2 linked regions of the Oreochromis niloticus genome follow. The protein of the gene in region 1 purifies or fractionates together with the protein of each later gene. This does not show direct contact. Links are inferred from orthologs where the notes say so. Each region holds a gene or a part of one and is shown on either strand. Other genes may lie near its edges.

Evidence for each region. Proteins that work in one complex are often made in the same cells at the same time.
Region 2: the proteins of sqstm1 (region 1) and irf3 purify together in Homo sapiens (affinity purification with western blotting; 4 studies listed by BioGRID). This does not show direct contact. The link is inferred for Oreochromis niloticus from reciprocal best matches to the Homo sapiens genes SQSTM1 and IRF3.

The regions. Positions count from the first base shown.
Region 1 is NC_031966.2:36,315,576-36,323,424, forward strand, and holds sqstm1 (sequestosome-1), read right to left. Parts: upstream 3,093-7,849; 5' UTR 2,914-3,092; coding exon 2,751-2,913; intron 2,442-2,750; coding exon 2,346-2,441; intron 2,267-2,345; coding exon 1,914-2,266; intron 1,838-1,913; coding exon 1,693-1,837; intron 1,444-1,692; coding exon 1,375-1,443; intron 1,238-1,374; coding exon 1,101-1,237; intron 972-1,100; coding exon 782-971; intron 698-781; coding exon 540-697; 3' UTR 381-539; downstream 1-380. Other genes in the region: uncharacterized protein mrnip, read left to right, coding at 56-337; E3 ubiquitin-protein ligase RNF4, read right to left, coding at 4,184-4,333, 7,689-7,740, 7,823-7,849. UniProt on the Homo sapiens protein: Molecular adapter required for selective macroautophagy (aggrephagy) by acting as a bridge between polyubiquitinated proteins and autophagosomes.
Region 2 is NC_031973.2:18,010,392-18,018,272, forward strand, and holds the start of irf3 (interferon regulatory factor 3), read right to left. Parts: upstream 3,107-7,881; 5' UTR 2,860-3,106; intron 1,378-2,859; 5' UTR 1,376-1,377; coding exon 1,211-1,375; intron 1,025-1,210; coding exon 853-1,024; intron 515-852; coding exon 441-514; intron 321-440; coding exon 260-320; intron 150-259; coding exon 84-149; intron 1-83.

The DNA of each region.
Region 1 (7,849 bases):
AGCAGAATGCCTCCTCGTCATGCACTTGACCTTTAACCTTTGTTCTTCTCTGCAGCTAAACTGTATGAAACTCCAAACACCTTCAACCATGAACACCTGTAGCCCCACCCTCTCCACCACCAGGTGGGCTCATTTCCTCAGCCCTGACTCAAAGGTGCAGGAGGGGGAGAAGCCTACAGTTCATGAGTGTAGTCAGTCTTTAAGCGGTGTCGCTGCTCCCTCCTGCGCTGGAATAATCAGCAGGCCCCGCCCTCTTCTTCCTGTTACCTCCATGTTTGACAGCGGCGAGGACTTTAACTTTGACGACGACTTCCTTGTTAAACGTCGCCCAGAGTGACCGTGCATTTGTTTGTTTCTAAAGAGGAGACTCTGACAGACTGTGCTTTTCTTCATGCTTTTATTGCTCACACAGAAACGTTTATAGGATGATCAATAAAGAGAACAGAAACATTGATTAATGGACAGTATTGATTGTCATTCAGACAACAGAGTAGAAATAATCAGATGCAGGTTCTGACATCGTGATGATATCATCAGTGCTAGTGTGGGCGGGGCTGCTTGGCATACTGGATGGCGTCCAGCGCAGCGCCGATGTCAAAGTTCTTGGCCTGAAGGAGGCGGGTGAGCCAGCCGCCTTCGTCCGTGAAGCCCATTGAGAGCATCGAGGCGAGCGACTCAACCAGGCGGGGATCGGCCTCTGAGGACAAAAGGTCAGAGGTCAGCAGGGTTTAGAGGTCAGTACTAACAGAACTAAAGTCACCGAGTGTGGACGCCAGCTTACCTTGAGGCAGGTGTGGGTACAGTGCCGCCTCCCTCAGCCCGCTGGGGCCCGCCTGCCCCTCAGACAGGGGCCCCTGCTCCTGGTTGTCAGGCTGCAGGGACTGCAGTTCACCTGTGGAGGGGTCGACCTCTTTAGAGCTCAGGTGGGTCCACTCCTCATCAGAGTCCTTGCTCACCTGAGGGTCACTACGCTACAAGGTCACAGGAGATGTTAAAAGGGAGTTCTTCCTCCCTGCTGTCCCGTCAGGATCAGCTGATTGTTCTTTCTTCTGATATTTACATCATGAAGCACTTTGAGGTTTTATAAAAATAAAAGTTACCTTTGCTCCCAGACTGGCCCCGCCCTCACTGCTCGTATGCTCCATCTCCTCATCGCCCTCACCCCCCCCACTCTGAGTAGGTGGGGTCACCTTGGTCCGTTGGCCCTCGTGCTCCACGTCGATGTCCACATCGATACCTGTGTAAAACACACGCACCACTTCCTGTTTTAGAGCCAGCTAGAGATGTTCACTCATCTCACATGCACAAACACAGTGACGTCTTAGTCTTTACCTTACAGCATCAAACAACTGTTTAAATAAGGCTGACACTCACCTAGTGGGCTCAACATGGCTGCCACACCCTCGCCAATGTTCTTCAGGAAGTCCACATTGGTCTGAGAGCCTGCAGGGAGAAATGAAAGATGTTTTAAAATCACACAGATGTCACACATAACATTATTTTAGTGCTGTGACAGGATGTTTAAAGGGCCACACAAACGCGGCTCTGATGTCATGACCATTCAGTCCGCACACAGCCTTTTTATTTTGAAATGTTGCTGCATTTTCCCTCTTGTACATCGTTTCCTGACCTTATCTGCTCTGATCTGACTTATTGATCAAGTATCACTTTAACCAAGATGGCAGAACTCACCAGAGGGGGTGTTGGCATCAGCAGCAGGTTTAGAAGGGCTAGACTCGTTCTGGTCCTGGTCGTTGTCCTGGTTCTGAGCCTGGTTCTGGTTCAGGTTCCACATGCAGTGTCTCATCCTCTTCATCCACTTCCCCCGAGGAAACCACTGAAAAACACAGCCTCACAGTCATGTTTTGAAGGGCCTGAACAGGACACCTGCAGACCTGCACAGGTAGACTCACCTGCAGTGGATGCCAAATGGGCAGTAGAGCGTGCTCAGTGTGCTTCCCCTTAGCCTGGCAGGAGGAGCAGAGGTCGTAGTTCGGACACACTGAACACTTGAAGCGGGTCCCGATCACAGGGCCATCGCAGCCATCACAGGTAACGTTGGGGTGCATGGCGTAGGGTGGGGCCACATGAGGAGGAGGCGGACCCATGTGTGGCCCATGGGGCGGGGCATGAGGACCTCCAGCATGGGGAGGTGGAGGACCTCCAGCATGGGGAGGTGGAGGACCTCCAGCAGGGGGAGGGGGAGGCCCAAAGGCAAAGGGAGGGAAGGCATGGAGAGGGAAGTCCCGTCTGTGCTCCTTCTTCTCTGTAAGAATGAAGCTTTATTAGCACAGCTGGAGGACAGATACAGCGAGCAATAACATTTATACAAACCGCAAACATACCTCGGATGAAGAGGCGGAAGGTGGAGTCCTTCATGCACCCCAGACCCATCATCAGCTCATCATCAGAGGAGAAGGCCACCAGGTCCCCATCTTCATCTGCATCATCATCATCATCATCATCATCATTAGTCACACGCTGGTGAACTACAAAGGCTGCAGGTGACTTTCTAATTCCAGACTAACTTTGAGGGTGTTTGTCCGTTTACATGACTATAAATAAAGATTAATTCAACAGCGGATTATGGTTTCATGCGTTTACAGGGAAACCGGTGAGTCTGGTCAGGTGAGTGTGCGCCTGCGCACTAACTCAGTTACGTCCCCACTCTTACAGTCGCAACTTAAGTCAATAACAATCCAGGAAGCGATCAGAGTGTAATTCCCTCATCTGAACCCCCGCGCGCTCACCTCGGTAAAACAGGTTGAAGTTGTTCAGGTTTCCAAACACGTCCGCAGTTTTCCTGCTCAGGTACTCGAAGCTGCAGGATACGTCCTGATCAACCGCGAACCTGCGGATCTCCTTCACCGCCTCGTCCTTCCCCAGCAGGTAGGCCTTCACAGTCACCGACATCCTGCCACTGACACCGGGTACACCTGTGTCTCTGTCCGCTGATCGTCAACCGGAGGCTGGGTGTATGTCTGCGTGTTGTTCGCTGATAGTCAACCGGAGGCCGGGTTTATCTCTGTCTATGTCCGCTGAGAGGTGTCCAGGTCCAGGAGTTGGTGAGTTTGTGACGCACTTTGAAATCTCTCGCTCTGCTTTATGTTTACTTCCGCGACAGACGTGGGAAACGACGTATGTGACGTCAGGGAAGTAAACACAGATTCGGCCTTCTATTGGCTTTTTCTCAGAGTCCCGCCCACAGGACCAATGGCAGCCGAGGAATGACTCGACGGCTTTCCAATGAGGTACTTTCCCTGAGTCATGTGACCTGTTTAAAGTTCATAATAAAATATCGCAAAGTCATCGTTACAAGACGGTTTCAATACCTGATCACAGAGCAGGCTTTCGACATGAAACTGATCATCAATAATCAGGCGGACTGATCAGAGCTCACAGCTGACGGGGTTTGGATTAATAAATCAATCATTCTGGCTCTGCTGCTTACTCTCCAATCAAAACCAAAGATATGCTCATGGTCACGTGACTGAAGCGTTTTAAACCTGATCCTGAGATCTGGACAATAAAACCTTTCAACTGATAACTTAACCTTTATCTCTAAAAACACCCAGTAAACATTTTAAATAAAGTTTTAAACTTCAGAACGAGTGTCCAAGTTCTTAGGTCTGACTGATTTATTGATCTTTGACGCGTTTGTATTCATGTCTATTAAACTTATCTGTTTTTCTGGCAGCCTCGGCCAATCAGCAGCAACTCTTCAGGCAGCTGACTCTGAGTCACTGCAGACAGGAGACGGTGACGCAGAGTCACAAGACTAAGATCCACTACCCATGATTCATCAGTGCAAGCACCCTCCCCAACACACACACACACACACAGTCAGACTAAAACAGTGCTGTGCGTGTGTGAGTACTTCCTGTACTCTGATTACAGAAAGTACATTGTGCAGTATTTTTCCTCCACATTACTGCCGTAACTTTGTAGATCCATCAGCTGATCAATGAGTGAAACAAATCAAAATTTATTTCAGCTTTAACAAACAAATCAATACACATGAATCATTAATCCATAATGTTTACCAGCTATGACTGAACACTTTAATGTCCAAACAGAGGCGCACACACAAAAAAGAAAAAAATACAATTCAGCAGCAAATAATATCAACATCATGGCCTGTGGTCCAATGGCAGCAGGACTCAGCTGTGGTCTCAGAGTGATGTCAGATGTACAGGGGGTGGTACTGGCGGTGAGTAAGTCTCTTCCTGCAGGTGGGACAGGTGTGTGATGATGTCAGAGAGTCTCTCAAACACTGACTGCAGAACACGTGACCACAACGGGTGGACACGACCAATCGGCCGCTCCCAACGATCTGCGAAAAAAAAAAGAAAAAGAAAAAAAAAAAGAAAAAAAGAAGCGAACAAAGAAATTAAAAAAAAAAACAACAAAAAACAAAAAAACAAAACCCACAACAGCCAATCAGAGCAATGCACTCAAACATCACTGTAATACTTTCAAAGTAAAACACAAAACCACACTGAAAGTTTCAAAATAAGAGTCAGGATATGTATGTTTATTGATTAGGTTCACTGATCAGTGGCCATGTGAATGTAGTAAAGCCTGTATTTCATTACCCACAATGCCTCAGGAAGCACACATCTCATCAAGCATTGTGCTGGACTATTTTTTAGACACACTCGAGTCACCAACACCAATTTGTTCTGAGCACGCTCACACTGAAGGAAGCGTCCCCTGCATTAAATCAGCAGCGAGCTGAGGGCTGTAAAGTCGATCTTGAAGGTTACTCAGAGCTCACACTAGCTGTGTCCCAATTCCTAGGCCGCATCCTTCGGAGGACCCGGGCTTCGTGGTCTATGTGAGCTGGGTCCTCCGAAGACCGAGAAGGCCGGAAGTGAGAGGCTGTGAAAGGGGACGGTCTAGCCTTCAGATTTGTGTCACCAGCCATCTCGATGGGCATGAATAAACTCAGCCATCTGCTCCTTGCTATCTAAAATATAACAGGACACTGGAGTAAATTCTCGATCATCTCGACCATCTTCTGTATGGACAGCAAAGGAAGAATTTCATTGCACAGAGAAAAGCTATTTCTTCTACACACATGACAATAAACACTTTGAATCTTGAATCTCGCACTTTGTTTAATCAGTTTTCTGTTTGACGTTTATTCAGCTGTGTGAAAACCCCCGAGGAACCCTCCCGATGGATTAATAAAGTTTTATTATCTAATCTAATAACTTTTATCTCAGCCAAACCGATTTACTCCGGAACAAATAAAACAGTGAAAAAAGCCAAACAAAATAACATTTAAGTTATCTGAATGACTTGTATATCATGTTTAACCTGAGTAGCCAAAGACGGCGGCGGGTCTGATAACGATGTGCCGGGTGTCTGCTGTTCTCTAGTGAGCCTCGACCTCCCGGCTAGCTATCGAGCCGGTGGGTAACAGACATCTCCAAAAACGTCGCGCTTTTGCAATTATGCGATTTCTTGATAAACCAAGCAGATATTTGAAGTTTACACAGCTACTTTCTCGCCTGGAAATATGTTAAAAGTTTATTTTGTGACCCAGAAAGATTAATAAGAGTAATATTAAACTAAACTGGAATTGACTGGGCCGTGCTATGAATTCTGGGATACGGTGGGCCACGAAGGACACACCCGACCCATCCTTCAAAATCTCGGAAAATGAAGGACGCATTTGGAGGAGTCTTCAATTTGGGACAGCCTACCTCACGTCGTTCAAATGCCGCCTCAGGAGGATACAGCCTAGGTTTTGGGACACAGCTAGTGAATGCTGCTCGGTTTGCAGTCCTGAATATGATGGCACAAGCAGGATTCACTGCACTGTTAATGTTAGCTATGTTATATTGCTGCCTCTGTTCGGTGGCGTCGAGCCAAACGGACTTTAACGTGTGTTTGAACGAGCTGACGGTTCACTCGTTAAGCTGAAAGAAAGATGCTTTAATCACAGGAGTCACACATGTGTCCACTGGACCATCTGGGAACTCTTCTTGTTTAGTACTCGTAATAACACAAACACTAAATCCTCCTTCTCTTGTGCTGTTTTGTAGCAGTGTATACACCTGAGACTGTCACCTGTCTGTCTGTCCTGCACTCTCTCTCTGTTTCTTTCTCTCTGATTGTGGAATAAAAGTATGAACATGTATTTATAAGTTACACTTGTGTTTGAATCCTGCAGCTTATCGCACATTTGATTTCCATGTGTGACAACTGCAAGTGTCCAGAGTGAGGACAGACTGAGGGACCCACTGCTGCACATCATCTGTGAGGCTTTGCACCCCTGATGATCCACCAGGACAAACTCAGCAGTGTGTGAGGAAGAGGAGGAGGAAGAGCCAGCAGCAGCTGACAGATTGAGAGAATAGACAGACTGTTCCCTGTTTGTGAAGGACTGCTAGGAAAGTTTAAAAGAACTAATTGTCTGTCCTGAATCAGTCTTATTAGGTAATGTTCAAATCATTTGATTATTCCAGTGTTTTCAGTGTGGGAGAAAGTACTCAGGGCCTTCAAGTTACACACTATGAAAGGCAGCAACAAGTTTAATATTCAGAAACCTAAAGTATGTATCAGCAGCAGAATGGAGCTAAAAATAAATGTTTGTTTCAGTTCTATGAAGCTTTGAGTATTTTGGATTAGTAGCACTGCTGTGTTTGTTGCATCCTATTGCTGTAATTGTTTATATGCTTTATATATTCTGAGGTAAGTTGATCTATAGTGTTACATCATTTTCTATAAGGATGTTATGTGTTTGTATACTTTCTGAGCACGCTCACCCTGAAGGAAGCGTCCTCGGAGCTCACACTGAGCATGTGCAGCAGGATAAAGAAAGAACCTCGCTGCTGGCACTCTGTGTCAGTAAAGTTCATTTTTCTGCTTTATTCATGCTGAACAGTCTGAACACACACACATAGGGCTGTGCGATATGACCAAAATCTCATATCCCGATATTAAGACATCTATCGTCGATATAACGATATAAATTACAAAAATGTAACATTTCCTGTAAATTCTGTGAATCTCGGGCATCTCGACTTGCGTGAAGTGTTTCCAGCTGGGCGTCGTGTACCTGGAGTCGAGTGTGTTAACTGATGCATGGAACTATACATTTTTAGACGTAAGTTGTAACAGCCGCCGTTTTCTTTGTGAGTATTTATTACACAGCGTGCTGCGAAGAAAAGTCTGTTCTAACGTTTGAGTCTAAGGTTTATTTTTTAGCACCTGGCGGCTCTTTTTTGCTTCTCATCCGTTAATACTCTGCATCTTTCACGTGACTCGTTTTATTTTGAAAAGCCTCAACAGGATCTTGAGCTTTATTGTGAAAGGTTTATGTGGAAAATAAACAAGCGGACACAAGGTGGTTTTACCGTTGTTGTTGCTAACGAAAACGCATAAAAAACAAGCGCTTGTCCGTCTGTAGTGTGGTTATATTAAATATAAGAGAATAAGAGAAAGAGAGAACTTTAAGAAATTAATATAGCCACTACAGTGACCATCAAAATGATGAAAAAATATTGCCGTAAACAGTTTATTTTGCGACACCACGAAACAAACGATAGCGTAAAATGAAGCGATAGACGTTTTTCTATCGTCATCCGATATATATCGTTATATCGAACAGCCCTACACACACACACACACACACACACACACACACACACACACACACACACACAGGTGTGACTGACCTCTGAGTATCCGTCCAGACACACAGGACAGCTGATTGTCCCTGGAGTTGACCTGAAACACAAAAACATTTGAGGGGGGTCACTGACAGGGTCAGTGTATCACCTGCAGAAGTGTGTAGGGGTCGGTGTATCACCTGGAGGTGTTTGTCGGTGGCAGGAGG
Region 2 (7,881 bases), on another chromosome or scaffold:
AAGTACCTCGGATACTCTTTGTTTTCTGCTCTGACTGCAGCAGCAGCGAGGAGGAAAATGATAAGCAGAGCTGATAAGCCTACCTGCTTCAGGGCCGATGTTCATTCCTTTGAGACACTCCTGGAGAATATCCGGGCTGGCAGCAGATTCTGCTGGCAGATATGGACCAGTTCAGACACACTCAGATGGCGATTGTCGCTAATAAGCGGCAGACTAATGTTCCCCTTCTAAATCCAATGAAAAAGGCGATTGCTCTCACCCGAAAACACAGCGTCTTCTGGAAGGAGGAGACATCCTTCTAAATAGTGGACGCCCTGGGACTGGGATAACACCAATACACATCTTATACACTTACATCAATACCCAGCATTTCAGTAATACCTCTTTTTTGTTACCATCTGTCCTATTACAGGTAAAACAATCCAACAGAGCAGTCTCACCTCTTGAATGGAAATGCCCAGACCTGCAAGCAAATCAGCCCCATCTTGTTCCTGGGATCCAGCACACGAGTTAGCTTCAGGAGTGAAAACAAGCATTTATTTTATTTTCTGAGAAACATGTCAGTTAGAGATACAGAGACACGAGTGTATGCAAAATGTGCTGCATGGACAGACAGGAACTGAGCATGCGGTGCACAACTGCATTATCAGATTTAAATTGCAAATGCAATATGAAATTGATTGATTGCAGTTATAAAATAAGTATAAAGCATAACATCTTGCTGATCTTTTTTTTTTCCTGTGCATTTTGAGTGCCAAAACAGCAGAGTTTGCTTGAAATAAGCAAACAATTTCTTTTGAATTTGCTTTCTATCGACTGTAACTAAGATCCAAATGGTCAGCAGGTCCTCACCTTTTGACGCTGACTCGTCCGGCCACTGAAAGACTTTATGGGGGTTAGCAGCGTCATTCTTCTTGTCATCCAGCATTTTGAAGCCTTTAGCTCGTAGGGCGCTGCGGAAGTTCCTCTTCCAGACTGAGGGGTCTCCATTAGCCCGGCCGCTGCCGCTCACCTCCGCCCAGGCCTGCGAAGCAAAACCAGGATGAACGCCGGAAGAAACTGCTGATATGAACAGGCTAAAGACTAACAAAGAACGGATTAGTGGACAAAGAATGAGATAAGCAGAAGATGGACGGATAGCTGATATCAAATTCATGCTCATGACTGGTTTCTATTAGATTGTCATGTCATGTCAGACCCTGATGGTTACCTTAAAGATGAGAATGTCAGTGTCAGAGGAGTCCTGTCTCAAAGCGTGTTTCCACGGGATGCAGAACTTTGTTTGCTCTGGGTTTGTCCACTGGACACCAGGATATTTGTTGCTGTTAATCTGTTCCCGCAGCCACGGGATGAGCAGCGGTTTTGAATGAGCCATTTCTACAATAAGACAAAATATAACGTGAGCTCTGTCATCACAGCCTGATGTACCACTTACTGATCCTGTACTCTTTTGCTATCATATGAACAATCACTGTATAGTAACTTGGATGTGATGTAGGCTATTCCTTCATTCAGGCAGTTCATTAAAATAGCTTGTCTGTACTGGAGGTTAGATCTATATAATTATTTACATACAGACAAATTTAGTAGCTCACCAGTCATAAAAAGAAGAAAACAAACAAAAAAATAGAAATCTCTCAAAAACTTTGACTCATATTTATTCAGTAAACAACAAACTGAATTCACGTTTTTATATCCAAATTTTAATCGGCACACTGGTCATCTCTGAAAGTCAGGAATTAATAAAGCATAAAAAACACTCAAACTCATTTTTTGTTCAGGAATGAAAATAAATAACTGTAATTTTGCATCTTAATCCAAAAATAATCATTTACCTTCCTACTTTTTCTGCTTTTTTTTGTAAAACAGTACATTTTAAAAATCACACATGACAACAATACTTATATTTTTACACTAAAAATATGATTTTGATTAAAGAGCGCAGACTGGTTGATTAAATTTACAGAAATATAAAAAAAATACATATTTTGGTAATTACCAGTACTTTGGCATAAACCTTACATTGAGTAGTGCTCTAACAAAATACTCAAGAACAGTATATTCATATTTATTTATAATTAATTTTCTTTTTTAGATTATGCATTCATTTGAACTATAATTCCATGCTTGCCTGCAGATGGTGCTATTTAGTCTCACACCTCATGCAGCAACAGCAAAAAAGTAATCTATAACTGACACTATTATATTAGCATGAGTGAGTTAACAGAAAAAAGGGCCCAATTTAAATGAAGGTTTCAATTAGATGATCAAATATGCATTAGACTGTCAAAGGTTTAAGAAGAAGAAAAAATGCCTGAGCATGAACATCCGGATGTCAGGAAAGCTGTCGTGCAGCTGGGACGATTACAGGTTTTTATTGCCAATTCTGAGTTGCATGAAAGAGGAAGCGGGCACATAGACAACAGCTGTTCAGCAACAGTAGAAACGGTGTAATTATAAAAATTAATTAACTAATTAACGACATTACTTACGATAATATAAAATAGTATTAAAGTGTAATAATACTAAATACTAAGTGCTTATAATGTATTAAAGTGTAATTTAATATATGAAAGTATTTATATAATCCTAAAAATCTTCCACACAGCATTTATTTTCATTATTTTAGGTCATATTTTAATAATAACAGTTATTTAGGCTAGTCTTGTTGTTTAACTGTCGTCAAAGTAGAGCATAAGCGGTCCTTACAGCTCCCTGAACCAAACATACTCAAGTGCAAACACTCCAGGATCGGAAACGAGTACAGTCTTTGAACAATGCTGTAGTTATAGTAGTAACCTTTGTATTGATCCCACTCTGGGACAGCGGTGCCAGCGCTAACAACAAAAACTCTCCCACCTTCAGTGATGACGTTTCAGTCGGTGCAGATGAGCGTTGACTTGAAAGTCAGAGCGTTTCCTGGGTGCAGAAATCAGTACAGTGACGGCTGTACGGTAGCTGTGTGTCGTGTCGCTTCAAGCTGTGCTCCAAACTGTCACATACCGTCCCCGCTGCAGATCCTTTAAACACTGCCCTGAGTGCGGCTGCTTTCCGGCTAACAAGTCTTTCTCGGGAAACTCCGAGTTCACGGTTTCGTTTTCCAGATGTGACGTCACGACGGGTTCATACCAGCTGGTCCCGCTAGGAGGGGTTACACACACACACACACACACACACACACTGGCATAATGCACATCTAATCCCTCTGAGGTAAACAATTAAGACAAATGGAAATACCCTGCTTTGAAAATTAATGTCTTTATGGAAAGTACATCGGTTGGTACCAAATTCGAAAAACGTATACCTGGGTGAACTGCAATACAGAAACTTCTGTCCTTTTTGATTTGTGTCAAAACAGCCAAGTAGGACTAGAAGTTGAGCACATTTTTGTGTAAACTGGGACTTTCATTTTAAATTTAAGAGCCACCCAAACAGACCTTCCTCTTAAGGTCTCAATAAGTTGAAATGTCCCTGCTAATATGGATGGACACACATGCACAGCCATATGTATGTGTGTGCATATATAGGGAAATGAAACCATTTGTTCTTTGCAGCTTTTATTTGTTTCTCAAATACAGGAGAGTTAATGTACAGAAGGACAAAGAATTTCATCAAGAACTGTACAGTATTTACACATCTTTTTTTTCCTTTTTTATGGAAAATTAGATTGTTTTCAAAATAAGTCATAGTATGCACAAACATCAAAATGATAAAAATGAAATGCCTATCTCATGTTTAAATATTCCTCGTTTATACTCCTCCTTCCCGCGTGGGAGATGGACAGTTTACTTCTTTTTCTTTGCACCTGCATGAATGATGATTGAACTGAAGCACAACAATGTAAAGAGTCAAATAGATTTTTGCCAGTCTCCTTTTTTCCCTTCCGTTTTTTGTTTTTTTTTTCCTTTTGCTGTTATTTTACACCCACTGTATTTGATACATGTCTGTCTCAACGTCTGGTCTTTTTGGATAGAGGGGAAGACGACTTGGATATGTGGGTTATGATTGTATACTGAACCTGTGGAAAACAACTCTTTTAAAAAAAAAAAAAAAAAAAAAAAAAAAAAAAAGCAATTAAGGGCAGCAAACCAGCACTTGTGAGAGCTTAAGTTAAAAACCTCCTCATATAAATAATAAAAATGTGTTTATATATTATCACACAGCTGACTGGTGCTGCCCTTCACATAGCACAGAATGAGAGATAGCGATAGAGAGAGAGCGTTTATTAACACATTTCAGGTTTCTATCTGCCGACGAGTGAGTCCCCGATCACGCTGCTTGCTGCGCACGCGGTTTTTAAAAAGCATCCTCGCCCTCCTCTAATCTTTTCAAAAGCCAACAGCTGATGTTAGTCTTTTCAAAAAATAATTTATGTAAAAACTAAGCGGTAATAGTTTCTCTTTGAGCTATTGTCTTTATGACACACAGTTAACAGGATGTCAGTGGCTCCCACGTTGACTTGGCGATCCTCCTCTTTGTCCTTCCACCTTGCCTCTCTCCCTTTTTTTTCGTAAAACAATCAGTTTCCTCTTGACCCTTCGGTGCCCCGTGACCACGAGTGGGGGTCCCCTTCTCACAAAGTAAGACGTTTCTTTAGTCATTGATCAACAACAAGAAAACAAAAAACAAACAAATAAAAAAAAACAAAAACAAAAAACAGGCCAGTGTCCAAGGTCACGTCAACAGACCCTCTCGTGTTCATCAAGGGCCTTAGAGATTTGAAGAGGGGAGGGGGAGGGGGCTGTACAGTAGGATCCATCTCTTTCCTTTTTCTGTATTTTCTTTTTGTTTCAAATACTCTTACTTTAATTCACTGTCTGTGTCTTTATGTGGCTGAATCAGGCTTTGGTGCTGAGCGTGAGCAGCTCGATGAAGGAGCTGAAGAGGCTGTCCAGCCAGTTCTGGTTGGCCATGCACTGCTGCACCACTTCCTCTTGGCCTGGGTCCTCAGCTGCCTGCTCAATGGTGTTGGTCTGGGAGAATGGGATGGAAGGAGAGACAATTGTAACCAAACCAAACACACGTCAGTAGAAGCTTCAAAATGAACAGAAACGACATGGTTTCTTACCTCTTTCTTGCACTGTAAGAAGGTGTGGTATTTATAATGATGCAGGGAGTGGTAGAGACTGTAGATCCGATAAGACTCGGCTGACAATTTAAGGTCCTATTAAAAAGAACTCGGATTATTGCTGGGGTCAATTTTATTTATTTAAGGAAAAAAAAAGTAAAGTAAAATTAAGTGTTGCTGTTCTGGGTTTGGAAACTTGCAACAGGTGTTTGTGTCCACCTACCACCCTTTACAGTAATGATTAATTCTGTCAGTGCAGTGATTTCAGTGTCTATTGTGGTTCAAGGCTTTTTTGTGATTGGCAAAATTTATAGTCACACAAAATTTCACAGAACTGTGCACAGATGTACTGCTATATGCTGGGATTTCTAACTATTCATAGCGTTTAGCAAACACAAAATAATGCATACCTGTGGTTTAGGCAGGGTCTTCTTGACTCTGTTGAGGGTCTTGCGGTTGTAAGCATCGCCGCTTAGCCGGACCCTCACCACTCCTGAATCCAGGGGGTCCACAATGATCTGGGGGTAAGCATGCAGGACCTCCTGTAGAGAGAGGGGCAGTGAGGAACAGCCACAAAACAGTCACACAAAAAACACCAGTGTCCTCGAGTTTGAGGATCATGAAATAAATGAACTAAACCAATTTCATTTACCTGCAGGCATCCTGTTACAGGGTCTACCAAGGTTATTAGTTGGCTAAAATTAAACTCAAAACTAAAACTGGATGAAAAACCATTGTAGTCAACTAAAACAAAAATACTATATTTTTAAACTAAAAATTAAACTAAAATATTATTAAGAAAATACCCTTAGTGTCAGTAATCTGTTAGTCTAGTGCTTTGCATATGCCCTCCATACAATTAAAAATACTAGGAGTAACACTTAAACTAATAAAAGCTCAACTAAAACAAAAACATTTTCAAATAAAAACCTAACTAAACCAAGAAAATACTGAAATTCTGATGTCTACAGATATGAATTGGTTAAAAATATAATACTTTTTATGCAGATTTAACAGCTTTTAAGCTCAAACAAGTAAACAACATCATGTCAAGTCAAGCATGAGATCCATCCACCAGTTTTAACCACCAGGGGTAATTGTTACCCTTAAGGCATCCGTCATTAAATTTGCATCCTCTCATTTCCATAAACGAAACAGGTTTTTTTCCTCATTAGAATCTTCTTGTTATGACAAACTAATGTTTTGGTGTGTTGTGGCAACCTTCTGCAATCTGAGTCTCGGGTGAACAAAAGTAGCACAGGGAGCAGAAATGGCATTATCGTAAGCTGGAGGTGACTAACATGATATAAGAGCCATCCAGAAGAAAATGAAATACCTCTTAAGACACTTTGACTTTGTGTAAAGTGTAAATAGGTTTCTTCCAACACAAACATCAGTGTATTTTACAGACGGTAAAACAGAGTAGTGTAAAATACTTTTATTACCTTCTATTATGTGAGCCAGAGGGACAGAAAAATAAGCAGCACATTCACAGAAGATTACCTGGTGTTGAGAGCTCATGCTGACTCTCCTCAACAACCTCCTCTTCTGTTCGCTAAGGATGCTGTCAATCTTCCTCATCGGAGGGAGGTAGAGCTCATCTGATGGCCAATCAAGGTAAAAGATGTTTCATTAGTCATCATTCATGTAGCTGCCAATCATTTTAATGCCAGCAGCCAACTGAAAGCAGGTCTCTCTGGCTGCTGTACTTCATGCACTCCCAGGGCTTCCCCCCCTAACCTGTCACAACTGGTTTATCTGAACTGCTCATAAACTCATAACGTGTGGGCTGTTTGTCCAGCCGGAGGCTTCAACCTAAAGCCTGGCAGTTGATACTTGACAGAAACGGTGATGTTTACTCAACCTGCCCAAACTTTCTGCTTATGAAAATGCCTACATCCAGTTGTTTCAATGCAGATATTTAAGCTAGAGAAAAGTGAGCTACCAGACCAGTTAGAGCAGAGATTCTCACTTAATAATTGCATCTGATAATTATTTCTTTATTTTTCAGTTAACATAAAACTGGTAATTATGTTGAGGAGGATGTGTGTGCGGTTCTCACCGTCTGTATCCTCCAGGGCTTGGATCATGTCAGGGTCCAGGGCTGTGCTCACCAGCATCTCCACGTAACTCCTGAACATCTCCCTCATGGCACGGTTGTTCACTCCACCTTTCACTGGCACTGTGGGTGAGAACCAGTTTTAAACAGAGCCTTCTACCATCACTCTAATTAAAATAAGAAAAAAAAACCCCAAAACAAACACATCTACAGTGAAAGAATTAAAACAGGGTCTCACTTTCATTTTCGCTAGCTGCCTCGTCCGATGAGTCTGAGTCAGATGATGAAGGTACTTCCTTGAGCCACTTCTTCCTCTTCTTGGGCGGCGGCTCTGCCTTCACCTTGGCTGGCTTGGACTTGGGTGGTCGCTCGGCCTTTTCCTTCTCCTTCCTCTCCACCACTTTCCTGTCTTCCTTCGTCCTACCTCGCTCCGCCGCACGTTTCTCCACTTTCTCCTGCTGCGGCTGCACCCGCTTCTCCTTTTCCCTCTCTTTCTCGGTGTCCCGGTTTTTCTCCTTCTCCTCAGCTTTAGGCACAGCAGCTGAGAGCTCTTTCCTCTCTCGTGGTTCTTTTGTCGTCGTTGTGGTTGTTGTGGTCGCCGTTCTTGTTTTCTCCCTCTGTTCACGCTGGACTGGTGGAGCCACTCTCTCCTCTTTCTCCACTACTCTTGATGGCACCTGAGTGGCAGGAGGGGACGCCATTCTGGGGAGGGACTGACGTCTGTAGGATGAGGAAATCAATTTTATTTACTACA